7 linked regions of the Xenopus tropicalis genome follow. The protein of the gene in region 3 purifies or fractionates together with the protein of the main gene of each other region. This does not show direct contact. Links are inferred from orthologs where the notes say so. Each region holds a gene or a part of one and is shown on either strand. Other genes may lie near its edges.

Region 1 (3,500 bases), on a different chromosome or scaffold from region 3:
GAGATGTGGGGGGGGGGGGCGTTTAAATTGGGGGTATCGCTGAAATCTTCTGCATACCTCCTGTGCTGTTTCAGTTCCCTATCATTATGTGCTGTGAGGGGAAACGAAAGGACCTGGGGTTAGTCTCTTCTGTGTTTTGTCTCAGTAGGAAACGTGGCTAACGTTCTAGCATTGCTGAAAAACTTTAAAGGGGAAGTATGATGTTAGGATACATGGGCCGATGTCATCACCAAGTGAGTGGATCTTCTCCCGATATCCCCACCTATGGGTGGGCGATATCGGGAGGAAGCAGGATAATTCTATTGTTTGGCCCTGGGGCCAAACAATCGAATTATAATGAAGGGCACAGGAAAAGTCGGTCCGGGGACCGCATCAACGAGCCGATGGTCCCCGATCCAACTAGATATCGGTCGGACAGGCCTGTCGGTAGTGCCCCTACACGGGCCGATTCGCTGCCGAATCAGTCTAAGGGACCCATATCGGCAGCTAGAATCCGCCTGTGTATGGGGACCTTTAGGACCTCCCATATGGGTATTACATTTCAGTGTAACAATCCTTAGGCACCATATATTTATAATTACCCACATGATTAGGGTAATTGTACTGCCTATGGGGAATAGAATCTGTCTGCAAAGTTCCTCTTGTTGGCTCCAAGTCTGTCCATTAATCTCTGTATGCTAGCTGCTGGCCCAAACAAGCATCTTTACCCCCTCAGGGTGAAGACACACAGAGCTACTAGTAGCAGCTACTTGTCACGGCTACTAAAATACAATGCTGATCCTTTACTGATACCTGCCAGCTCTGACTGAAATGGTCATGTTGGCACCCTATGTACAGTCGGCTTTTGTATTGCAGTCCCTGCGGCTGTTCCTTTTTCCTTTCCTGCTTCATTTCTGCAGCACAATGGAGTCAGTTCATATCTGAGCAATTTCTCTTTCCGCTTCGGTACTTCTCATTCTGTGTGCGCCTGTGCAAGCAGAGCCCCCACACCTGTACTTCTCAACTCACGTCCCACATGCGTGATGGTTGGGTTGGTTTGCAGCAAGGCTTAACAGTGAGCCCCAGGGTAGCACAGTGTACAATACAGTATTGGGCCTTTTGCTTCCTAAAATAGTAAGGATCATTTGTTGCTGAGCAGATAATCTCATGGCACTGAAAAGGTTACAGGGGTGGTTCACATTTACAGCATACTTGTGGTATGTAGATTGTGATGTTCTGGGACAATTTGCAATTGGTCTTCATTTTTTTTATTCTGAATGGTTTTTCAGCTATTTAGGCAGATAAGTAATAAAAGATAACAATAAAACTATAGCCTCCCAGAGCAGTAGTTTTTCCCTAGTTTGAAAGCTGGAAAGATGAAGAAGGCAAATAACTCACAAACTATAAAGAATAAATAATGAAGACCAATTGCAAAATTGTTAGTAATATGCCAGTATAAAAGGTAAACAACCCCTTTAAGGATGTTGAAGAATGTGGTTCACAGTTTAGGGCTCAGGTGGGTTGTTTTTTTGTTTTTTTTGTTTTTTTGTTTTTTTTTACCCAATAAGGTAACATTTATTCCCAGAACCTGTGGCAAAAATGTTAAGGCAGACGCCAGAGAAGCAACTTGGACCTGTGAGAGATGGGGGCACCCAAGTGGCATATGGATGGACATTTACAGTGTCTTCAGTGGTGTGCTTTTTATTGCCTTGGAGAGCACCTACTGGTGTAACACTTACCACCTGTTGTACCCCATGTACTAGTCCAGTTGGTGCAATTTGTATGCATTGTATATGGCATTTTTATGGGTGCACCCCCCCTTGCATTTCTAAATAAACTCACAGAAATAATGCATCTTTTGTCCTTTTAACATATATATAATATATTATTGAGATATTTCTCTTTATACCTTTTCTCCCAACAGAACCAGAACAGAGGCTCCTCGACTGGAAATGAAATCACTGAGCAGCAGTTACCAACCTGAGCGCCTGCAAGGCAGCAACAGGCAGCATATACTAAAACCAAAGCGGTCCCATCGCAAGGCTGACCCAGATGCTGCTCACAGGTAAGGGGTTATGGTGGTCATACATGCTAAGATCCGCTTGCTTGGCGATATCGGGCTAATTTGATCATTTGACCCGGGGCCAAACGATTGAATTAGAACGAGGAGTATAGACGCCCTTCGGTTCGAGGACCGTATCAGCGAGCCGATGTGGTCCCCAAAAAAAATCAAACCTGCCCGATCGATATCTGCCTGATTTCAGGCCAGATATCAGTCGGGCAGGCCCGTTGTTAGTGCCCATACACGGGCCGATAAGCTGCCGATATCAGCAGCTAGAATCGACCTGTGTATGGCCACGTTTAGTCGTGGTGGCTCCAGTTGAGCTACCCACATGGTTCTGTGTTTGGGGGTGGTGGGGGTGTAAGTAATAGGCAAAGCAGGATCATTTTCTGTAATCGGCTGTGTTTCTCTGCAGACCTCGCATCCTCGAAATGGATAAAGAGGAGAACAGAAGGTCGGTACTTTTACCAAAACAGAGGAGGCGGAGCCACTTCAGCTCCGAGAACTATTGGCGAAGGTCACATGATTATGTGGACACCTATACAGAAACGGGAGAAGACGACGGCAGCCCAGTCCGCAAAGTTAAAATGAGACGACACTGAGGCGGCCACTTTTCTGATCCCAAGAAGTTCTGACTTTTTCAGACTTTCTGATTTTTTGTTTCTCCCACTCGGCTCTCCACCGTTTCTCTGATATTGCCCCGTGGCTATGGGGGTGCATTGTAAATGATGGTTCCCCGCTGCTCGTGTTTATACCACCCCACCCGGGTCTGATTGTCCTCATCACACAACAAAAATTGGAGGTGTGCAAAAGCCAAGGGGTACCATGAATACTGTTGGAGGGGGACACAAGTTACCCTGAATACTGTTGGAATCGGTGGCTGCCAGGAAGTCTGTCAGCGCTGTGAGTTAAAAGCTGCACCTTGGCGTATAGTAAGGATCCCCATTGCTTGCTTGGCAGCTGCAATGAGGGACCAGAGCGCGTCGGAGTACAATATACAAAGACTCCCGTGGAACAGTCGGTTGATGTTTCAATGTTTTGTTTAGCACAGTTTCTCCAACCCTCACCCCTTTCTTCTGTTTCCCCCTCCCCCTAAATAAAAGAAACCATTCTAATCACTAATCAGGGGAACAACCCATAATTATTGATGCAGTTCTGCTTAGGCAGATTTCTGTGTGTTTAACACCCCCTCACCCCCCAGCTGGAAGATGCTGTATGGTTGTGACAAGGTGCCAGGGGGTTTATGGATTGCTGACTTGAGAATACAGCTGGCCAAGTCACTCACTCTCTTCTGCATCCTTTAAAGGGAAACTACAAGTTCTTTATATGAAAAAGCACTCCCTGCCTCGAGTGTACACAGTTGGATGTGGCACTTTTTTCATATGGGAATATTTTTTAAATTTCACCTCGGACTCCATTCTGCCCGTTTCTAAGCAGCACGCGGTTTGAGCATGTCCGA
Region 2 (4,282 bases), on a different chromosome or scaffold from region 3:
CAGCTGCACCCGGGCAGGTGTGGTTTTCTCCCAAAAGGGGCACCAGCCCAGGGTAAAAGGTAAGCGATTAAAGTCACTGGGGGTGCCTAACATTTGGGGCACCCCAGAATGTTTTTTATCTTTCCTTCTCCTTTAATGAATCATTTTAATATATATTGATATTATAGGTTAACTTGGCTTTTTGTGACCCTAAATTAAATTTGCTGTGGGGCAGTAACATCTAGTTATGCCACTGTCATTTAGAGACGTGTATCCTTACCAAACTGAATGCCTTTTCCTTAAAAACACCTGCTCCCTAAAGCAGTACTATTCTGTCCAGTTAGCTGTCATTACCCTATCACCAACAGGTGTGGCCCTAGCTTTTGCCTTAAGGATAAGTAGAACATCGCTAGAGAAGTAGTTTCCCTCGCCTCTGTATCTATCAGACATCATGTATTTCCTAAGGACAGAGCCCCACAATACGCTGTTTCCTGGAGCTGACAATGTTTCCCCTGTTAGTCAGGCGGTATTCAACCCTACGGATTTGTTTTCATTCCCCCACAGCAGGACTTCCTTAACCCCAACACCAAGCAGATGTCACGGTTCTCTCTACTCATGGATGACGTTGCCTATGATGTAATTAATACACAGGTCCCCCACCCGGGACCGGGACAACTCAGCCAGAAGACAGGTGACAAAACTCACCCTCCAAACACAAAATGAAGAGCCCGCATAGGACTCTCGCACAATAAATGAAACCTCCCCACCTACCTGCCCAAGTAGGGGCATACCCCAGCCATAGCGTTGCTTCCCTCGATATTCTCATCCCTCTCTGCCCGGTCTCTAAGCAGCGGAGCGTCTGCAATTACTGCGCAAGCGCCAAACTCACTCCAGTAGGCCTGGCACAAATGCTGATGTGGCCTGACGTCAAGCCCCCTACCCACGCCTTAGTCAAATTATCATCCCAGGTGGGCGGGGCATTTCTGTTATTCGTCCTTCCGGCAAAATAAGGGATAAATGTAATGCTTGCAAGTGCCAAAATGTAATCGAGCTGAAATGGCCAGGCTGTCTTTCGCCCATGTCATATAATAATAGCAACGTAGGCGAGAATTATACACTAAACTAGGCTCTCTAATTGGAGATTAGTCACAGAAATGGTAACAAGCGATATGTCAATATTTACTGTATAAAAGTCTGCAGCACGTGTTGCTATTATGTCCAGTAGAGGGCGCCTAAACAAGTTTTCCTCTAGTAATTGCAATACAGTTCAGCAGTCATTTGTAGGAAGTAGTAACCCAAAGTAAGCGATTGATTGTATTTCCGGTACCCATACTAGAAACTGGCAATATTTGACCATAAATGTAACACAGAAAAAATGCAACCACGTAGTTGCGATAAACAGCACCGATTGTTATTGGTATTACGGAGGATGCATATCGTATATTAAAATCTATAGATTCAGGAACATATTTATTCAACCTAACGATAATTGCCAATAACTAAAATGGGCGTCGAGAGTTTACACAGTGACGTCAGTATTGTGGGTCTGGAAGCCTTGAGGTTTGTCTTGGATCGGTTGGACGCTGTTAGAACCCTCTCCTCGTGTAGATGGAGAAAGCGGAGGGTAGAAATGTCGAGGAGGGGCACTCAAAGGAGCTTCTTAATATCGGTGGTGGCGGAGGTAACGGTGGCAGCCTCAAAAACTGCGTTAAAAGTAGCCTTTCCTTCCAAATGTACTGCTTGCAGGGAGTTGCTAATTGTCACGTCTGCATTTTAACGTGTTGGTAGTAGGGCAGATCTTAGAAAACAGGAACTGCAGATCATACCTTGTCTTTTGCTGTGCTTTGAGGACTTCTCAATATGTCTTGCTACGCATGGAACTATTTTAATTTGGATGAAAACCCATGGGTTAAGCAGGCCATACATGCACCGATATCATACAAAACTTTTTGAATGATTTTTGGACCGTGTATGTGCTTGGAAATATCATACTGACAGTTTTCATAGTATGGCGATCAATCATTTATTTAATCGTACAGGATGGGAAATGTCTGTCTGATAAAGATTCTACTGTACAGCACTGCGTACATAAGTAGCACTTTATAAATAAAGATATACATACATACATACATACATACATCTGTACATGTATTTCCTATCTGACGGTATTCACGGGTAACCTATAATGTATTTCCAGGACATGGCTTTTTTATGATTGGTTATACCACTACCTACCTACAGTGTAGATACAAAGAAAGTATTCAGGGTGATTATCTATATTTGACAGTAATTATGTTTCTCTAATTGATAAAATAAAAATGCGGTATTAAAATATAAATAAAAAATATATAAATGTATTTAACACTTTGTAGAAATTTGTTGAATGCTATCAAATATGCATCAGTCCGTGATAAGAATTCTGGTTACATATGTCTATTTCTTTGTATGAGAGAAACATTTAATGAAAACCCTTTTCTTAACTGTGTAACAGTAGCCCTATACCAGGGTTGTATAGCAGTAAACCCAGGCTGTTCAAGGGCTCAGATTTTGTACAACATAATCATTTTAGTAGAACCAGGTTTTAACAATGAATATAATGGGGACAATCAGGCAAGTAGGTTCAGTGTTTGTATACCAGAACTTATAGCAGGGGTGCCTGATATGCAGCTAGTGACCCGTACAATACAGCAGCCTTGTACTGTCCAAAAGCAGTACCATTAGATCAAAAGTAGCAGTTTCCATGGCAAACTGGCAATGTCACACTTCAGTGTAATACATCCTGATGCAATACTTCTACTTTTCATTTTCTGGGCACCACGGATTTAATGCTTCAAAAATGGTAAACCAATGGAAATATTAGATATCAAAGAGAATGCATTGCAGTTTTCTTCTGCCCAGAGTTGTATGTTGCAATGTATTACTACAGGTAGCATTCTGTTAGTGGAAAAGTGTTGGATATGCATTTATTTTTTTCGAGTTCATAGTTGTAATAGTTTGTTCCCTTTTGTTTAGGCTTTTACAATCAGCTTCTGATAAATCCGAAATACAGCAATAAACAAGGATCCAATTCACCAATCACCAGAATGCCTAGAAGCAGCAGTAAGTAACATTCAGATTGTTTCTTTAGATATATAGAATTGCCAGTGCCTACCAGTATATGCATAATATTAATTATATATATGCGCACACTTAGACAAAGACTAAAACATTAGTTCTCTGCCCCTTTCAATAAACACACAACTTTTGTTGCAAGTATGTATAAAAATCTGTTTACACTGGTAAAAAAACAAATAATAATGGTTAAAAGGACATTACAATCTGAATGTTTAGCTTATAGAAATTGGCAAATGCTTGCTCTTAGTTTAATAGGGTTGTTGTACTATTTAATATTTATTGAAGCTCTATGCTACATCTAGCAATTATGGGGCCAATATGTGCAGTTATTTCATGTCTAATGCAGTGCCAGGGGTCAGTTTTCAGGGCATTAACTGTATACCTGAAACAGTTAAGCTGTCTATTGCACTTAGAAAAGGTATGTCCATGTTCTCATATATAATATCCTCTCTAGGTTGTGGGCCTAATCAGGCTGATCCCCTTGTTTGGCCTGGTATTCATTCACATAGGTGGGTTATTACATCCTGGTCCTTGGCAAACAGGAGGTTCAACTAGATAGGGAAAGCCATCATTTTGGTTCCATACGTAGGCCAAAAAGCTGCTGTCTTGGTCAAGAGTGGTTGGTCTGCGTTATACTGGCAGCCTGAATGAATGGATTTATAATAGATTCAGCTCAAATGGTTAAATCATGATTACAACATGTTCTGCTGTAAAGACCTGAACATTTTGTTTTAATTTGCAGCACTTAAGGCCTCATTCACAGTACTGACTTGTTCAGTTGCAGATAGTTTTTAAGTCTCATTTCTTATATGGCACAATTTTATATTTGTTGGTCAGGGGCTGGCAAAGGAAGAATTGTTATTTCATGATGTTTACTCTATCTCCCTATACTGTTAAGGGTGTCTGAGGACTGGGTAGACTCATTTCAAAGTCTAATCCAGTACTGCTGGCCAGGCACTAGATTACTCCATTAATTCATTGGATTTATAATGCTTAGTATTCTTACAACCAGATGTTACTCTGTAAGGGTTACAGATGTTGCTGCTTACTTTTCAGTTCTGGACAGAGTACAGAACTTCCTACCTCAGCTGGCTAAGGCCAATGAAAGTCTTAGTAAGGAAATAGAATCTTCTCCAGTTGGCACTTTTGACATTGAACACGTGGATGAGAAGGAAGAGAAGATAATTGA
Region 3 (3,500 bases):
TTTCAGCTAACCTATTGTTTCTCCTACTCCCATGTAACTGGAGGAGTCCCAAGCCGGACTTGGATTTCTTACTATTGAGTGCTATTCTGATACCTACTGGGAGCTGCTATCTTGCTCCCTTCCCATTGTTCTGCTGATCGGCTGCTGGGGGTGAGGGGGGGGATATCGCTCCAACTTGCAGCGCAGCTGTAAAGTGTGACTGAAGTATATCAGAGCACAGGTCACATGTTTGATTATAGCTGATACAACTACTTTAAGTGGCAGCAAATGACAGAGGTGGATCATTAGGGCCTGAGAGGTGTCCTGTTTGTCTCTGTATAAACATCGCTTAACCCTTGACTGTCTTCTATACCCTAGGTACCTGGTTGATTTAGGTTGCATCAAACCTCTTTGTGACCTCCTGACTTGCATGGATTCCAAGATCGTACAGGTGGCCCTGAATGGCTTAGAAAACATACTGAGGCTGGGCGAGCAAGAGGCAAAGCGGAACGGGACAGGCATTAACCCTTACTGCGCTCTTATTGAAGAAGCATATGGTGAGTGCCAGCATGTGGGCTGCCCCCGGGGCTACACAGCGGGGTATTTATATAAACTATAGTAGGGTTTCTGTAGCAAACACCCCAGCTGTACCGTTGCAGGAATGGCTGCCCCTGGGGCTACACAGCGGGGTATTTATATAAACTATAGTAGGGTTTCTGTAGCAAACACCCCAGCTGTACCAGTGCAGGAATGGCTGCCCCCGGGGCTACACAGCGGGGTATTTATATAAACTATAGTAGGGTTTCTGTAGCAAACACCCCAGCTGTACCGTTGCAGGAATGGCTGCCCCTGGGGCTACACAGCTGGGTATTTATATAAACTATAGTAGGGTTTCTGTAGCAAACACCCCAGCTGTACCAGTGCAGGAATGGCTGCCCCCGGGGCTACACAGCGGGGTATTTATATAAACTATAGTAGGGTTTCTGTAGCAAACACCCCAGCTGTACCAGTGCAGGAACGGCTGCTCCCGGGGCTACACAGCGGGGTATTTATATAAACTATAGTAGGGTTTCTGTAGCAAACACCCCAGCTGTACCAGTGCAGGAACGGCTGCCCCCGGGGCTACACAGCGGGGTATTTATATAAACTATAGTAGGGTTTCTGTAGCAAACACCCCAGCTGTACCAGTGCAGGAACGGCTGCCCCGGGGCTACACAGCGGGGTATTTATATAAACTATAGTAGGGTTTCTATAGCAAACACCCCAGCTGTACCGGTGCAGGAACGGCTGCTCCCGGGGCTACACAGCGGGGTATTTATATAAACTATAGTAGGGTTTCTGTAGCAAACACCCCAGCTGTACCGGTGCAGGAACGGCTGCCCCCGGGGCTACACAGCGGGGTATTTATATAAACTATAGTAGGGTTTCTGTAGCAAACACCCCAGCTGTACCGGTGCAGGAATGGCTGCCCCCGGGGCTACACAGCGGGGTATTTATATAAACTATAGTAGGGTTTCTGTAGCAAACACCCCAGCTGTACCGGTGCAGGAATGGCTGCCCCCGGGGCTACACAGCGGGGTATTTATATAAACTATAGTAGGGTTTCTGTAGCAAGCACCCCAGCTGTACCGGTGCAGGAACGGCTGCCCCCGGGGCTACACAGCGGGGTATTTATATAAACTATAGTAGGGTTTCTGTAGCAAACACCCCAGCTGTACCAGTGCAGGAACGGCTGCCCCCGGGGCTACACAGCGGGGTATTTATATAAACTATAGTAGGGTTTCTGTAGCAAACACCCCAGCTGTACCAGTGCAGGAATGGCTGCCCCCGGGGCTACACAGCGGGGTATTTATATAAACTATAGTAGGGTTTCTGTAGCAAACACCCCAGCTGTACCGGTGCAGGAATGACTGCCCCCGGGGCTACACAGCGGGGTAATTATATAAACTATAGTAGGGTTTCTGTAGCAAACACCCCAGCTGTACCAGTGCAGGAATGGCTGCCCCCGGGGCTACACAGCGGGGTATTTATATAAACTATAGTAGGGTTTCTGTAGCAAACACCCCAGCTGTACCGGTGTAGGAACGGCTGCCCCCGGGGCTACACAGCGGGGTATTTATATAAACTATAGTAGGGTTTCTGTAGCAAACACCCCAGCTGTACCAGTGTAGGAAAGGCTGCCCCCGGGGCTACACAGCGGGGTATTTATATAAACTATAGTAGGGTTTCTGTAGCAAACACCCCAGCTGTACCCCAGTGCAGGGCTGCAGTACATTATATTTTAATTACTTAAAAACACTTTTTTGGTGTAACTGTTTCTTTAACATCCCACAGAGGGGCCCATAGGGAAAGCTCGCCCCCTTGTGGCTCTAAGTCAGACAGTTTCCCACTCCTGCTTTGTTACACCCTCTCTGTTGATTGGCATTAGAATTCTTTATTCCTCTTTCCTTGGCCCATAGATATGACTGCAGCGGGACAGCCATTTCTGTCAGGCCCCCAACCCCGCTCCCTTTCCTAACCAAGGGCAAGATCAGCCTAAGAGCATAAAGTACAATAAAGCAGAATCCTCTCCTATTTGGGCTAGGGGCTCTCGTTTCACCCTGTTAGTATTACCAGCTGTGGGGTTCTAGCCCGACCAGCTCCCCCATGATGTTCCGTGCTCACTGACCCACCTATGTTCTATCCCTGCCTGTTCTAGGACTGGACAAGATCGAGTTCCTACAGAGCCATGAAAACCAGGAGATCTACCAGAAGGCGTTCGACCTGATCGAGCACTACTTCGGCACCGAGGACGAGGACAGCAGCATTGCCCCCCAGGTGGACCTCAGCCAGCAGCAGTTCATCTTCCAGCAACGAGAAGCTCCCATGGAGGGTTTCCAGCTCTAACCCCCCCCCCCCCCCCCCCGCGCTGGGCTCCGCGTGCTGCAGTGCGAGTGCCCCCCAGAGCGCTCACTCACTGTTTGCTGTGTTCAAGCTCTCGCTCACTCCCGCCCCCCCTACACTTCTCTATTTATTCAGCCACCTTTTATTTCCCCCTCTCCTTCTCTTTCTGCCTCTTTTTTTCTTGCTTCCACCTAGTTTTTATTTTTTCTCTTTCTCCCCCCCCCCCCCCCCCCCCTCGTTGCTACGTGACAGACCCAGCCGGATGCTGTCAGCGGATTGGGACTGCTTGCCCTGGTCCTAGAGGTTCCACGCCGTGCCTCATTCAGCACCACTACAGTTCTGGTGTCGGCCCTCCTGCTGTGCTTTTGACATATCTTCATTTCATATGACTCGAGTATTAGAAGTATACAGGAACTCCACGGGCAGAGCCGCGTCCGCGGAGAAGGACGGAAACGAAATGGACGAGACGTTAATACTGACACGAGAATATCACTGTCCCGAGGCCACTACGACGCGCGACTGTACCGCTCGATATCTGCTTCATGGGAAACTACAAGCCAAACTGGGAGAGAGCTTTGTTCCAGCCTGGGAACCGGCATTAATATTTAGCTATAAAACCGCAAATCCCAAACACGAAA
Region 4 (3,500 bases), on a different chromosome or scaffold from region 3:
CCCAGAAGGCTCTCCAGGTTGACTAGAGTAGTCGAATTGAAGAGAGAACTGAACAGGAAGTGGGGGCAGGCCTTCACTCTGCACAAGGAAGCAAAGGAAAGGATTAACTTCTAACTGAGGAACCAGGTCAGACTTTCATTCTTAAAATTAACAGTATTTAAGATGGACCTATTCTAAGCAGCTTTTTCTGTTGGTTTTAATGTTTAATTAGATGGGGTTTTTTGTTTTTTTTTAACTCCCATGCATTGGGGAATTTTGTAGTGAATTTTCAGCTATGTTGACACAATGCCCTGTGTACCATTGGAATACTAAATTAACCAATATTTTTTCTTCTCAGTGCTGGATAGCAGTCCTATCCTATCTTCTTTCCAAGTCATCCTTTTGGAACATATAATCATGTGTCGTCTTGTGACAGGACACAAAGCCACAGCTTTACAAGAGGTAGAGATGTTAAACTGGTAATAGAGAATTTTGCAGATGCCTGTGAAATCTTTTTCATTTTACATCTGTCTTTATTTCTCAGATATCCCAGGTATGCCAGCTCTGCCAGCAGTCTCCACGTCTGTTCTCTAACCATGCAGCTCAACTCCACACATTACTGGTAAGTAATAAATAGTTATGGAGCCACATCACTGGTTCTACTTTTTTTTTTCCAATGGAGAGTGCTTATGGTGTTTTAAATATTTAAAGTATGGTGCCTTCCCCATTCGATCTTGCACACCATAAGTGGCAGGCAATTATACTGACTATTTTGAAGAATATCTGGGAGGAAGCCACAGATTTGTGTAAAACTTCCTTATTATAACACAAGATAGATTAATCAACTTTAAAATTCTCTCTACTATTACTCAGCTGATAAATAACACAGGGTTTTTCCAAGTAAATCCTCTGCTTGTCCCCTCTGTTATCACCTCACTGCTGATTTTCTGTGGTTTGTGGGTATGCCCATTAATCGAGAAGTTCTGGTGAACAGTGGTTTAATGTCTTAGTGACAACCTAGCATTACCTCAAGTCATCTCTCCTTAAGTGTGCTAATTAGGGGGCCAATTCATTAAAACACGAGTTCGAAAAATTCGGATTGGATACGATAATTTCTGAAGATCGCAAATATCACGAAAATGCTTACGGAAAAAGCTTATTAGTCATGATAATATCGAATTGGCGATCCGAAAGTCACAAAATTTTCGTACCGAACAATTGTAAACAGTGACAGAACCTTCTAATCCTAATTTTTCATGCAAGCGTACGAAAAAGTTGCGCGGGTGTACGAAAAGTCGAGCAAGCGCGAAAAAAACGCTGAAAATACGCTCGGAGCGTTCGTGTCTTAATAAATCTCCCCCTTGGTGTGTAATAAGCGATCTAGTTTTTTATAAACATACCAGAATACTTTATCAAACTCTTATTTTATGCTAAAAAAGTGATTTGTAGCTCACTGGCTACAACCTAAGGCCCCTGCCTTCTTTACTGGCTAAACTTTAGTCAGTCTTATGCTTCCATTAATTACACTAACATATGAGGCATGTGGAGAGCTGGCTTGAGACTACCTAGCATTAAACCCCATCGAACCTGTGTACTTGAGCTGTATCAATAAGTGGCGATTTATCTACCTTAATATGTGTGCTAAACACTAATATACTGTAACATATGACAATATTTGTTTTGCCAGCTTTTAAATTAAAATGCTCCCACACTTTATTTTTTCTAATTGTATTTATGTCCTAGGGCTTATACTGTATCTCTGTAAATTGCATGGATAATGCAGAAGCACAGTTCACAACAGCACTAAGGGTAAGTATGTTTGCCCTAGGTTTTTACATTGTAATGATCCAAACTGACAGCCTCCTATAAAATCAAGACAAGCCCTTATAAGGATATTCCTGACAACCCTACAAAGCATGCAATGCAGTTCATATATTGCTATCAAACTTGTTTTCTTCTGTATTGCCATTAGCCTTTTCTTATATAGGGAGATATTCATGTGAAAAAATACTTAATTCTGCCTAATCTTAAAACCTTTACTACTGTTGTACTTGTACGCAGAATTTTTGTGCGGTTAACTTTATAAATTATTTTTGACATTGATCTCCCCAGCTCACAACGCACCAGGAGTTGTGGACGTTTATAGTGACAAATTTAGCAAGTGTTTACATCAGAGAGGGAAACAGGCACCAGGAGGTAAGCTGACTGATATATTTTTCTTAATTTTTAACACGCCAAGAAAAATCACTAACCAAAAGACACAATAGAGTCCATTCAAATCTGCCATTCTCTTGCATCCCCAGTTCATTTCCTATGTGCATGTACCAGTATGTATGTTTCAGTCATTACGCGTTGCTTCGGTTTTCCAAAGTCACCTGAAGTTTCCTTGCAAGGCAACTTCGGGCAACCGAAGCAATGCGTATACCATCCCACCGGCGATTTACATTCTTGCGGGTGGGTTGGCATGTCGGGGAGATTAGTTGCCCGCAATAGTGAAGATTTATCACGGGTGAGTAATCTCCCCGTGTGCTACTGCCCTAAGTGCTTTTTATTGGCCACATCAAAACAAACTTCACGTAAATAGAAAAAAAGGACAAAAGCATAATTAAGATAATTAAGTGATAAACATTTTTTTTATTGGGCCAGTAAGCCACATTGGGCCTGATTCACTAAAGTTTATTGCACGCTTTTTTGTGGAAAAAAAGACGCGATTCACTACAGCATTACCGCATGCGATAAGTCGCATTTTCGCATGCGGTATTTCTCGCGCTAGTTTTACCGCATACGTTCATTTCCGTGCTGAAAAGAATACGATCGCATGATTCACTATAACTTTTGCGCGCTAAATATCGCATTCGGCTATGCGAAAATTAACACCTACTACAGGCAGGCGAAAAATTATACAAAAGTACAGTAAATGATTTTTTGCAATAAAATATGGACTTACAGTGTTATTTATTCAAGTATGTGTTTCCCCTAGAGTGCCCGCACAACATTTTTGCTGTTTCGTGGATCTTTCGAAAGATTTGCTAATTTTCACTAAAGATAACCAGAACACATTTGCTCATCACTAGTGGCTACTATTTATAAGCATCTACTATTTATATGATACCATTTATATGCTACCATTTATATGTGGCTAATATTTATATACACCATTTATATGCGGCGACAATTTTTATACACTATTTCTAAGCTACCATTCATATGCGGTGACTATTCGCGGGCGTAATTTAGCACATGTACCAGCAAATACCGCATTGAAATAGTCTTCGCAAGTTAAATAACGCATGCAATATCGCGCGTAAAAAAGCGCGAGTATGCTTATAGTGAATCGTGCGAAAAATCGCCAAAATTAAGATGCGGTAAAAATTTTAACGCACGCTATAAATAGCGCACGTTAAATCGCACTTTAGTAAATCAGGCCCATTGTGCAGTGTTTCTGGGGGTTGATCTAGGTTATTTTCGTTTAGGAGAAAACTGCACCATCCAGAAGGAAAAAGTTGAGCTGCAGCTTCATC
Region 5 (3,500 bases), on a different chromosome or scaffold from region 3:
TGTCACTGTGTCACCCTGCAGGGGGAGGGGCAGGCTCACGGCTCCTTCTGTCTGTGTCACCCTGCAGGGGGAGGGGCAGACTCACAGCTCCTTCTGTCTGTGTCACTGTGTCACCCTGCAGGGGGAGGGGCAGACTCACGGCTCCTTCTGTCTGTGTCACTGTGTCACCCTGCAGGGGGAGGGGCAGACTCACAGCTCCTTCTGTCTGTGTCACTGTGTCACCCTGCAGGGGGAGGGGCAGACTCACAGCTCCTTCTGTCTGTGTCACTGTGTCACCCTGCAGGGGGAGGGGCAGACTCACAGCTCCTTCTGTCTGTGTCACTGTGTCACCCTGCAGGGGGAGGGGCAGACTCACAGCTCCTTCTGTCTGTGTCACTGTGTCACCCTGCAGGGGGAGGGGCAGACTCACGGCTCCTTCTGTCTGTGTCACTGTGTCACCCTGCAGGGGGAGGGGCAGACTCACAGCTCCTTCTGTCTGTGTCACTGTGTCACCCTGCAGGGGGAGGGGCAGACTCACAGCTCCTTCTGTCTGTGTCACTGTGTCACCCTGCAGGGGGAGGGGCAGACTCACAGCTCCTTCTGTCTGTGTCACTGTGTCACCCTGCAGGGGGAGGGGCAGACTCAGCTCCTTCTGTCTGTGTCACTGTGCCACCCTGCAGGGGGAGGGGCAGGCTCACGGCTCCTTCTGTCTGTGTCACCCTGCAGGGGGAGGGGCAGACTCACAGCTCCTTCTGTCTGTGTCACCCTGCAGGGGGAGGTGCAGACTGACGGCTCCTTCTGTCTGTGTCACTGTGTCACCCTGCAGGGGGAGGGGCAGACTCACGGCTCCTTCTGTCTGTGTCACTGTGTCACCCTGCAGGGGGAGGGGCAGACTCACAGCTCCTTCTGTCTGTGTCACTGTGTCACCCTGCAGGGGGAGGGGCAGACTCACGGCTCCTTCTGTCTGTGTCACCCTGCAGGGGGAGGGGCAGACTCACAGCTCCTATCTGTGTGTATGGAGCACATTTCAGATGAACCCTATATAATGATTATTTCCTTGGCCAGCAGAGGAGGTGAAGCCAGAGAGAGAAGCTGTGAAGGACACCAAAATGAACATTCAGAAGGAAGAAGTGAAGAGCAGCAATGGGAGGAAAGAAGAGAACAGACCAGAAAGACCAAGATTTATGTTTAACATCGCAGATGGTGGGTTCACAGGTAAGGAAAGCCAGTGGGGCAGACCAGACATACCTTCGCACATATCGGTTGTGTGTAAGCGGTGATGCCCCTCAAATCTGCTTGGGGTGCTACATGGGACCCCTCAGGTAATGATTTTCCATCCTGTTGCCTGCAGAACTCCATACCCTGTGGCAGAATGAGGAGAGAGCGGCCATCTGCTCCGGCAGGCTGAATGACATCTGGCATCGCCGGCACGATTACTGGTTATTGGCCGGCATTGTGGTGTATCCTTCCCTGCACCAATCACAATGTTCAATTACTGCCCTTTGTACTCAAACGCCTTTCGATCTTTACGTTGCTTTGCATGGGTGGAGGGTTCCGTGCTCCGTCCCCAGGGGCGACTGTGAACAGTTTCTGTAGTCCTATAGGCTGTGTCTCTACTAGGGCAGTGTCTGTTTCATTTGCTTAACCCTCTCACAGACATGGCTACGCTCGCTGGCAAGACATTCAGAACGATTCCCCATTCGCCATCATCAATGAACCCTTTAAATCGGAGGCCAACAAGGGAAATTTCCTGGAGATGAAGAACAAATTTCTTGCTCGGCGATTCAAGGTCTGGCTCCGCCTTTCCACTTTTTATTATTCACCTGCGCCGTTCCCCCAACAACTCACCTTGTGTTGGTCTCATCTGTCTATCTTTGCCCCACCCACTCACCTTGTGTTGATGTCATCTGCTTATGTTTGCCCCTCCCATCTATCTGAGTTTGTCCCACCCACTCAACTGTGTAATCCCAGCCATGTATCAGTTTGCTCTGCCCTTATGTTTGTCCCTCCCATCTATCTGTTTGTCCCACCCACTCAACTGTAATCCCACCCATGTATCAGTTTGCCCCACCCACTCACCTTGTGTAGATGTCATCTGCTTATGTTTGTCCCTCCCATCTATCTAAATTTGTCCCACCCACTCAACTGTGTAATCCCACTCGTGTCAGTTTGCTGTTTGTCCCTCCCATCTTTTTGAGTTTGTCACACCCATTAAACTGTAATCCCACCCATGTATCCATTTGCTCTGCCCACTCACCTTTGTGTTGGTCTCTCCTGCTTATGTTTGTCCCTCCCATCTATCTGCATTTGTCCCACTCACTCAACTGTAATCCCATTTATGTATCCATTTGCCCCACCCACTCACCTTTGAGTTGGTCTCGCCTGCTTATGTTTGTACCTCCCACTCAACTTTGTATTCCCACCCATGTATCAGTTTGTCCCACCCACTCAATTTTGTAACCCCACCCATGTATCAGTTTGCCCCACCCACTCACCTTGTGTTGATGTCATTGTTTATGTTTGTCCCTCCCATCTATCTGAGTTTGTCCCACCCACTCAACTGTGTAATCCCACCCATGTATCAATTTGCCCCACCCACCCAACTGTAATCCCACCCATGTATCTGTTTGCTCTGCCCTTATGTTTGTCCCTCCCATCTATCTGCATTTGTCCTGCCCACTCAACTGTGTAATCCCACCCATGTATCAGTTACTTTAACCCTAATCGGGTTAAGTAAAGGGGCAGCTTGGCGTGACCTGTCTCTGTTGCTCGTTCCTTAGCTGCTGGAGCAGGCCTTAGTGATTGAGGAGCAGCTACGGAGGGCAGCCTATCTCAACATGACCCAGGACCCCTCTCACCCAGCCATGGCCCTTAACGCTCGCTTCTCCGAGGTGGAATGTCTCGCCGAGAGTCACCAGCACCTCTCCAAGGAGTCCTTAGCGGGGAACAAGCCAGCCAATGCCGTGCTTCATAAAGGTACCCGAGGGGAGACTGTTAGGGGCAAATATGCTTAATGGGGCACAGATACTGTTGGTTCTGGCTACATGTTCCGCGGAAACAAAAGACTGTAGCAACGTTGTTTCATTGGTATATGTGGCCACAACCAACAGAGCAGAGAATTACACTTTCCGTTATTTATTTTATCTGGACTCTCCGTGTTATAGTTCAACCACAATCGCGAAGCAAGGTCTTGATCCCCCATTCAAGTAAACACAAGGGATTCTGGAAACTAATTCCAAAGAAAATCCCATATACATGGGTTTATCCTGTAGGCTAAACCTGCTGGGATTAGTTCCCAGAATTCCTTGTGTTTATTTGCATACGTATGAGGCGGTCTCCTCAACCTTGTTGTCTGTGTATCCCCATTGAAGGAAAGGGAGCTCCCCCTAGTGCCAATTGAAAATAACTGCAGGTTCGGCCAGGATTCGGCCTTTTTTCAGCAGGATTCTGCCGAATCCGAGTGCCTGAAGGTCGAACCAATTAATTAAAATCAATTCTTTTGCATATGCAAATTAGGATTC
Region 6 (4,062 bases), on a different chromosome or scaffold from region 3:
GGCCGTCCCATAGTAAGTGCTATAAAGTCTATTTTACAACCAATAGCTATCTATATGGACTTTCTTTAACCAAAACTACAAGGGATATCTAGAATAAGGACACTGGGGACTTTTTAACCAAAGTTAAAACAGCATTGCCTTTATCTCTCAACAGTAAACTTGCTATAGACGTTCTTTATATAGTGATCCCTACATACTTGGGTATCCAAACAATCCGCCAACATCCGATTGCCCATCTAGACAGTACATGGCCATGTAATGAATTTCTTATGGAATTACTGGAATGCTGTCTCTCCAATTATTATTTTAAATTTGAACTTTTATACTACCAATAAGTTAGTGATACAAGTATGGGCTCTAATGTAGCCCCTTCCTTTGCCAACTTATACACGGCTGATTTCAAACAATTATACTCACCCCTTACAAGGACAAAATCACAGAATGCAGTATTTCATTTATGAAACATGGAGCAAGCAGGAGCATGCACAGTTGAATCTAGTGCGGAATCACAACTCTACATACTCCTGCAGGGTCAGTGTTGGCGGAGAGACACAAAGAAGATCGAAGGGAGTGAAGATGGAGCCTGCAATCTGCGCTGTGCTGCATTTTTATTTCAGTTGTTCAGATAGGGACACTTTGTTATTAAATAGACTATGCAGGGTAGGAAAGGTGAGGAGGCAGATGGAGGTCAGTTGAGTGGGGCTTTTCTACCTAGGGGGTTTAGTTCTCCTTTAAAATCAGGCATCATGTGATTTGTTACATCCTGTAATAGCAAGAGCCTTTCAATCAATAAGCACCAATTATAAATGATGACATTACTGAGCAGCACCTTTATTGAATTATTCACACATTTTGTGTAATATATATTACACACACACATATATATATATATATATATATATATATATATATATATAATACACCGCATATTACAGAACGATTTGTATATTATATTCCATAAAGCTCAGATAGAGTAAACTTAAACCATAGGGACGTGTATGTCGTTACTCACTAAACCAGCATTTTACCAGTTATTAAAAGTAAGGGATACTAGCAGACCAACTCTGCCGCACATCACTTTAATGCGTCCACAACTACTTCCTCCTTCCGAGCGCGTTCTACTGACTGCAGCCTTTGTGCGTCGTTTACTTCGGAGAAGTTCGGGTTTTCCCGTCTCCCTCTTCGGAAGTCATCAGTTGATTCCGGAAGCACTCGTTTATGTCCGGATATAATTCTTTCAATCGAACGCTTTGTCCCTCCCCCGGAAGGCTGCTCGCTTCTTTATGCCGGAAGTTGCCCCTCTTTCTTCCCCTTCCTCTCCCCCCACAGGCCCCGGAAACGCGCGCAGATTCCCGAGTTATTGTGCGCGGGAGAGAGCAAGATGGCGGCTAATATGTACCGGGTGGGAGGTGAGAACTCACAGTAAAATCATTCTGAGCCGAAAGCATATCTGTAGAGCTTTATACTATGTAGTTAAACACACACTTTATCCGCTGTAGAGGGAGAGTCTATACCCATACATCATCTGTACAGAGTAGCGAGCACCGAATGCTGAATTAAAGTAAACGCTTTTTATTTACATGCAGAAATGTAGAATGATTATCTTTATCTTATTTCTGTGCATTGTGTGTCTTTAGTCTAATGCAGAAAATATATAATACACACATAATATATATATATATATATATGCACACATAGATCATAAATATATATATTTATATACATACACACACACACACACACAAATGTCAGTATGTAACCTAAATACTAAAATGCTGCTGTGCTGTTTCTGCAGTATTAAACTAGCCCGGTTACTCTTTACCTGACTCAATCACACTCAGCCTAGTTTAGTGGCCGGGGCTGTTAGGACCACCCCTTATGTACCCTGCCTGTTTGTCACTGTTCATAATATTGATCAATGGAAACTGCCCTGACTTTGTGCACTGGCTTCTGTGAGGTCTGTCTGTCTGTCACTGCTTGTGTGTGTAAGACAGGGAGCTTCCATGAGAATAACCCCTGCTGATCTTGCTCAGAGGGCTTCTGTGCCAAATTGCTTATCAGGTAGATGACCCTGTAACCAGGACTGTACTGCCAATCTATGGAATCTGGCAAATGCCAGAGGGGCTGCAGGTAGATTCTATAGGCAGTCAATATTTATTGGGCTTTTTGGGCCTCTGTCTACTTGAAAAGCCAGGGCCACTTTTGATTGTCAATCTTGACCTGACTGTAATCCACTGTTTCTGGGCCATGGCTGCCCAAGGACATGTTGAACTCTCATTATCCTGCAGCATATAACTATAACCTGTCTATCTTGAACACAATCAAAGCTGGTATTTACACAACTTTTTTATCCCCAAGTGTTAATTTTCTTTACACTTGTTTATACATATTTATATAGGATTTTTTACATTTTTTTGTTTGCATAAGAAATTTGTGGGTATTTACAATTTATTTTCTTAACTAACCTTTATTAACATTCCATAATCTGTGAAAGAGCCTTCTTATTAATGTAGTCTGATCATTTATCCTTTGTATCAGTTGTGGTGCCAGTAAAGCTTACAGTCTAATGTGATAGATTGCATTCACACAAGTGGATGAATTTCATCAGGTGTCGGTTAAAAAGAAGGGAAGTTCAAGCACCCCCCCTTCCCACAGTGATTACAGTTAGTTGCCTGGTACCCAGGGCCATTTCTCCCATTTGCTGAAAACTGCACTGGACTGGGGTATTTTTGTAGTGGCACCACAGGGCAATTCTCTTCCTCTTTGCTTTTTAAGCTGGGAGTGCAAGCGCAGTAAAGTGAAAAGCTGCAGGGCTGTGGAGTCGAGGAGTCGGAGGCAATTTTGGGTACCTGGAGTCAGTCGGCAAAAAATGAACCGACTCCTACTAAATTTAAATGGGAATAAAAAAAAAATAAAGCAAGTTTAAATGTCCCAATTCACAAACAGTCATAATTAATTACTTCTCTGCTATAAGAATAAAGCCCAATGCACGCAGTGCATAAACAAACACGTTGAGTGACCATGAAGCATGTTTTTCATTGACTGTATGAATGTATAAAATACATTAACATGTTAAAAACAGAGGAGTCGGAGTCGGAAGTATCAGAAACTGAGGAGTCGGAGAATTTATCTACCGACTCCACAGCCCTGAAAAGCTGAACTAAAAACAAAAGTCCAGCCTTTTCATTCTACACCACCGTCTCCTTTAATAAGCCTACATGTTTTTGTAACGTGGAATTAAACTGCAGTATAATAATAACAAAGGTGTATTGGATTCATAGGAAGCAGTATGTTAAGCTTATATGTGATGCCTACTGAAATATGTTTTATATGTTTCAGGACAGTAAAGAAATTTGCCTGCTCAAAGTACCTATGTTAACATATGTTAAGTCCCTATAGTTACATTTTTTTTTTTTAGTAGCCCACCCAAAAAATAGTAACGGTCTATGGCATCTTACAGCAGCCCCTCTGGCATTTGCCAGACTCCACAGATCGCCAGTGCGGGCCTCATAGCAACTAATTAGATGTTTGTTTTTAAAGAGCTGGCCAGTAAACACTACTTGCCGATTGATTAATAGATGTGGGCTAGCTTAAAGGAACAGTAACACCAAAAAATGAAAGTGTATAAAAGTAACTAAAATATAATGTGCTGCTGCCCTGCACTGGTAAAAGTTGTGTGTTTACTTCAGAAAGTCTACTATAATTTATATAAATAAGCAGCTGTGTAGCCATGGGGGCAGCCATTCAAAGGAGAAAAGGCACAGGTTACATTGCAGATAACAGATAAGCTCTGTAGAATACAATAGTGTTTTATTTGTTATCTGCTGTTATCTGCTATGTAACCTGTGCCTTTTCTCCTTTTTTCCAGCTTGAATGGCTGCCCCCGTGGCTACACAGCAGCTTATTATATAAATTATAGTAGTGTTACTGTAGCAAACACACCAGTTTTACCAGTGCAGGGCAACAGTGCATTATATTTTTATTACCTTAAAGCTCTTTAATTTTTTAGGGTTACTGTTCCTTTAAATAGGTGATTCACCTTCAAGTTGACTTTTAGTATGT
Region 7 (3,500 bases), on a different chromosome or scaffold from region 3:
AGTGGTGCAGCTAACAGGCTAGAAGTATTGGGGATCCGCTGGGGTGTGGTTCAGAAGGGCGGCTTTCTGGACTGGCCCTCCTTAAAAATTCAGCAGGCTGGGGTACATTACTTGTGATACTGCCATTTGCTAATGCATCCAGCTTTAATAGGTGCAGGGGGTGCCTGGTACATGAATGAAAATAGTGACGTGGAACTTGCAAGTTAGTACACTAGTGATTCTAGATAAGTCCAGCTTTATTGTTATCTCATCTGCATAAAAATATTTTTTGGCCCAAACCGTAACACACAGTACACACTACCTTTCCTCCTTTAATGTAAATGTAAGCTACTACCACACCTCTATAAGTAGGTATTTAATTTACACCAAAATAAATATGCTCATCACAATATATTCTTTTGTTTTTACACCATGTATCACTTTAAACTTATATTTATGGTAATGTCCCAAGCACTGCTTGTACTATGATGCATATACATCAAGATCCATTCTTTTGTATGACTGGTGCAATCCATTTGTACCAATTTTGGAGCATAAAAAGCTGAACACAAACCAAGGCAAAATGTTTAACTCACTTTCTGCTAAGCGGATGTGTTGATTTTCCAGTGGCCACATGGGGACAGCATTTATTTTCCCTGTAATTACTCTTTCCCAGTCAAGCAGATTTACACATGCATTATCTTGTAAAGAGTAATTGACCAACTCTAAGACAGATGGGTTGATTAGTCGCTGCGATTTTTAAAATCAATAAAAAGCATTATTCAATAAATATTTTGCTTGTATTTTGAGGCATGATATAGGGCAGGCAGTTCAAACGCAAATGCCGCAGGCTGCGAAAATGTGAACGTCATACTGAGTGAGGGCATCATAAATTCTTTGCCTTCAGACTCACAAAAGAAGAAATTCTGATGTTTAATAAGCAATTTTCCAAAATGTGAAATAACTGTAGAAGTAGAGCTTACAATTTATGGCAATGTTGACAGTAGGCTTAAGAGCCACAAATAGGGGTCTCAGTCTGACATGTTTTGCATAGGGTGATATGTGATGGTCAGTGTCATGGCAATTCAGAGATTACATTTTGTGTCCCTGTTCTCTAAATACAGTTGTAGAAAACAAGGCACTGGTTGTGGTTTGTGTTCGAAACAGGTGCAAGCCTTTGGTCATTCATAAGTCAGGGGATAAGATTTATGAATGGTTAGTGTAAGAAAGCTAACCTGTATTCATTGGGACAGATGCTCCAGAATTACTGTGTGCTCCTTGCCAAAGCCCCACTAAGTAACCTGAGCCTGCAGATAGTGACCCCCAGTTGTCAGACTGCAGTGCACAGCACAGACCCCTATATTAAATTCACAGGCTTCTTTTATATGTTCAGTGCACAGAATAATTTATTAAATTGCATTTTTATTTACAAATGATAATGTTAAACATATTGCTCAGTTGCTGTAAATGTAATGCAGTGTAAATGTTCCCATATTTATAACGTGTCATAAAGGTCTGTACAATACTCTTATAAGGACATAAAATATCTAAACATAATTTTGCGAGAAATGTCCCCAGGACAGAAAGTTATGGCACTTGCAGAAGATTTATGCAGACATTCATGATTTTTTAATAATCTCTATTGTGCCCTAAGAACACAGCTTGCCATACACTTTTACAGGGAGATTTACTAGTAATTTAACTATGTAAAATGTCACTACTAAGTCTGCTTTCTCTAAGATATTTCCTAGCATTATGTCTGCCAGGCGTCTGTGGGAGACATCAAAATGAGATAAAATGCCTCATGTGCCACTGTATGACATTTGGCACCCATGACTAGCTTAAGGAGATACCAACACCTGAAATGTAAGGTTTTTGTTTTTTTTTAAATATAACATTGTCTTTGCATGAGCTTTATTATTTTGCCTTTACATAACCTATCTGTTCCCCCATGTTCCTTTATGAGGGGGTGCCATATTTGTTCAGCAGTAGGAGTCTGTTAGCATTAGAAGCTATAACTGACAGGCTGAGAAGGGACAGTCAGGTTGGCAAAACACTCAGGTTTAGGAACTTCAATTAATAATTAATAATCAATTAAATAAAATATTTAACAGTGACAGTCACCAATGTCAATTAACTTATAAGATTTAGGGGATGGGTTGTTTCCTCCTTATTCCTGCCTGCAGACAGCAGTGAAAGCAACTACTTATTGCTTATTTTATAACTACATGTATGGGACCTGTTATCCAGAATGTTCAGGTAAGGTATCTTACTGTAAATTGGATCTCTGCTAAAAATCATTTAAACATGAAATAAACCCAACAGGATTGTTTTGCCTCCAATATAGATTCATGCAATTTAGTTACCATTAAGTACAAGGTACTGTTTTATTACAGAGAAAAAGGAAATCCTTTTTAAAAATATGAATTATTTTATTATAATGCACTATAAGAGATGGCCTTTCTGTAATTTGGAGCTTTCTGGATAATGGGTTTCTTTAGAATGGATCCCATAGCTGTGCCTTAATCTGCTGCTATAATATAAGGCTGTTCGAAAACTGCATTAACTGATCATGAGCAGTAGATGGAGCACATAACGTAATAAGCCTGTTGGTTCAGTAATGTTAGCAGATTACGCAGTTTGCTTTTATATACATAAAAGCAAGAGGGTATATATTACTTAATTCAGTTTTTCATGCACATTATGAACATGACACTCTTGCTAAGAAGTTCTCATTTTTTCTATGTCCTGCAGACTCCGAGAGCCAAAGAAGGATTTAATAGAGCGGGTTGTAAAAACTCTTGGAACCAAGAAAGCTATTGAGTTGCTTATGGAAACTGCAGAAGTGGAACATAATGGTGGACTCTTTATTCTGGTAAGGAAAAACGACATGCGATTATTTGTGGAATGCATTTTATGGGAAACATTGCTCCTTTCAAAACTGCATCAAAAAATGTTTTGTAAACCTCTTCCAATATGAGTATTAAAGTATGAGATCTGCCATTTTTTATTTCTTTTATTTAGATTTAAACAAGCCTTAATAGTGTTTTTCTCAGTGACATTAACTGTTCCAATTTCAGACTGCTGGTCTCCCTATCAACTAAAGAAAAATCTTCAGCACACCACTTACATACATGTTCTCAATGTTGTCAATTCACATAATTGAATGGCTGCTTGGGACTGTTTGATACTGCAGCCGTGATGGGGTTAATTGGTCACATGCTAGTGTCACATGGTCTGTTAAGGTATTTAGTGAGTAAATTGTTCACTTGTGTGTATTGCACCTGAAGAAGGGGTCACCCCCGAAAGCTTGTGCTGTTTTGCTCATTTCTGCAAATAAATGATTTAAAGGCATTGCCGACACAACTGGTGTGCTTCTTTCCCTTTGCAAAGCTCCCTATCAACTAAACAGGAAATCTTTGATCACTTTTCAATACAAAGACACTCTGCTAAGCATTTGGATCTAAAAAGCACCAGTGTCATCATTTCCTGTTTAACTTAATTTGGAGACAACAGGAGCA

What was found.
Region 1: the proteins of kpna1 (region 3) and alkbh5 purify together in Homo sapiens (co-immunoprecipitation; 3 studies listed by BioGRID and IntAct, with this or other methods). This does not show direct contact. The link is inferred for Xenopus tropicalis from reciprocal best matches to the Homo sapiens genes KPNA1 and ALKBH5.
Region 2: the proteins of kpna1 (region 3) and c12orf45 purify together in Homo sapiens (co-immunoprecipitation; 3 studies listed by BioGRID and IntAct, with this or other methods). This does not show direct contact. The link is inferred for Xenopus tropicalis from reciprocal best matches to the Homo sapiens genes KPNA1 and NOPCHAP1.
Region 4: the proteins of kpna1 (region 3) and mau2 purify together in Homo sapiens (affinity purification with mass spectrometry; 3 studies listed by BioGRID and IntAct, with this or other methods). This does not show direct contact. The link is inferred for Xenopus tropicalis from reciprocal best matches to the Homo sapiens genes KPNA1 and MAU2.
Region 5: the proteins of kpna1 (region 3) and chd3 purify together in Homo sapiens (affinity purification with mass spectrometry; 3 studies listed by BioGRID and IntAct, with this or other methods). This does not show direct contact. The link is inferred for Xenopus tropicalis from reciprocal best matches to the Homo sapiens genes KPNA1 and CHD3.
Region 6: the proteins of kpna1 (region 3) and mta2 purify together in Homo sapiens (co-immunoprecipitation; 3 studies listed by BioGRID and IntAct, with this or other methods). This does not show direct contact. The link is inferred for Xenopus tropicalis from reciprocal best matches to the Homo sapiens genes KPNA1 and MTA2.
Region 7: the proteins of kpna1 (region 3) and phax purify together in Homo sapiens (co-immunoprecipitation; 4 studies listed by BioGRID and IntAct, with this or other methods). This does not show direct contact. The link is inferred for Xenopus tropicalis from reciprocal best matches to the Homo sapiens genes KPNA1 and PHAX.

Annotation. Positions count from the first base shown.
Region 1 is NC_030685.2:16,055,302-16,058,801, reverse strand, and holds the end of alkbh5 (RNA demethylase ALKBH5), read left to right. Parts: intron 1-1,903; coding exon 1,904-2,044; intron 2,045-2,456; coding exon 2,457-2,643; 3' UTR 2,644-3,163; downstream 3,164-3,500.
Region 2 is NC_030679.2:50,216,090-50,220,371, forward strand, and holds the start of c12orf45 (uncharacterized protein C12orf45 homolog), read left to right. Parts: upstream 1-1,482; 5' UTR 1,483-1,587; coding exon 1,588-1,660; intron 1,661-2,991; coding exon 2,992-3,078; intron 3,079-4,149; coding exon 4,150-4,282. UniProt on the Homo sapiens protein: Client-loading PAQosome/R2TP complex cofactor that selects NOP58 to promote box C/D small nucleolar ribonucleoprotein (snoRNP) assembly. Acts as a bridge between NOP58 and the R2TP complex via RUVBL1:RUVBL2.
Region 3 is NC_030678.2:3,401,791-3,405,290, forward strand, and holds part of kpna1 (importin subunit alpha-5), read left to right. Parts: intron 1-357; coding exon 358-536; intron 537-2,677; coding exon 2,678-2,865; 3' UTR 2,866-3,500. UniProt on the Homo sapiens protein: Functions in nuclear protein import as an adapter protein for nuclear receptor KPNB1. Binds specifically and directly to substrates containing either a simple or bipartite NLS motif.
Region 4 is NC_030677.2:113,781,220-113,784,719, reverse strand, and holds part of mau2 (MAU2 chromatid cohesion factor homolog), read left to right. Parts: intron 1-337; coding exon 338-441; intron 442-523; coding exon 524-601; intron 602-1,722; coding exon 1,723-1,788; intron 1,789-2,091; coding exon 2,092-2,175; intron 2,176-3,500. UniProt on the Homo sapiens protein: Plays an important role in the loading of the cohesin complex on to DNA. Forms a heterodimeric complex (also known as cohesin loading complex) with NIPBL/SCC2 which mediates the loading of the cohesin complex onto chromatin.
Region 5 is NC_030679.2:146,901,122-146,904,621, reverse strand, and holds part of chd3 (chromodomain-helicase-DNA-binding protein 3), read left to right. Parts: intron 1-1,044; coding exon 1,045-1,194; intron 1,195-1,330; coding exon 1,331-1,439; intron 1,440-1,635; coding exon 1,636-1,768; intron 1,769-2,759; coding exon 2,760-2,955; intron 2,956-3,500.
Region 6 is NC_030680.2:36,848,645-36,852,706, reverse strand, and holds the start of mta2 (metastasis-associated protein MTA2), read left to right. Parts: upstream 1-1,262; 5' UTR 1,263-1,381; coding exon 1,382-1,409; intron 1,410-4,062. UniProt on the Homo sapiens protein: May function as a transcriptional coregulator. Acts as a component of the histone deacetylase NuRD complex which participates in the remodeling of chromatin.
Region 7 is NC_030677.2:168,318,861-168,322,360, reverse strand, and holds part of phax (phosphorylated adapter RNA export protein), read left to right. Parts: intron 1-2,733; coding exon 2,734-2,854; intron 2,855-3,500. UniProt on the Homo sapiens protein: A phosphoprotein adapter involved in the XPO1-mediated U snRNA export from the nucleus.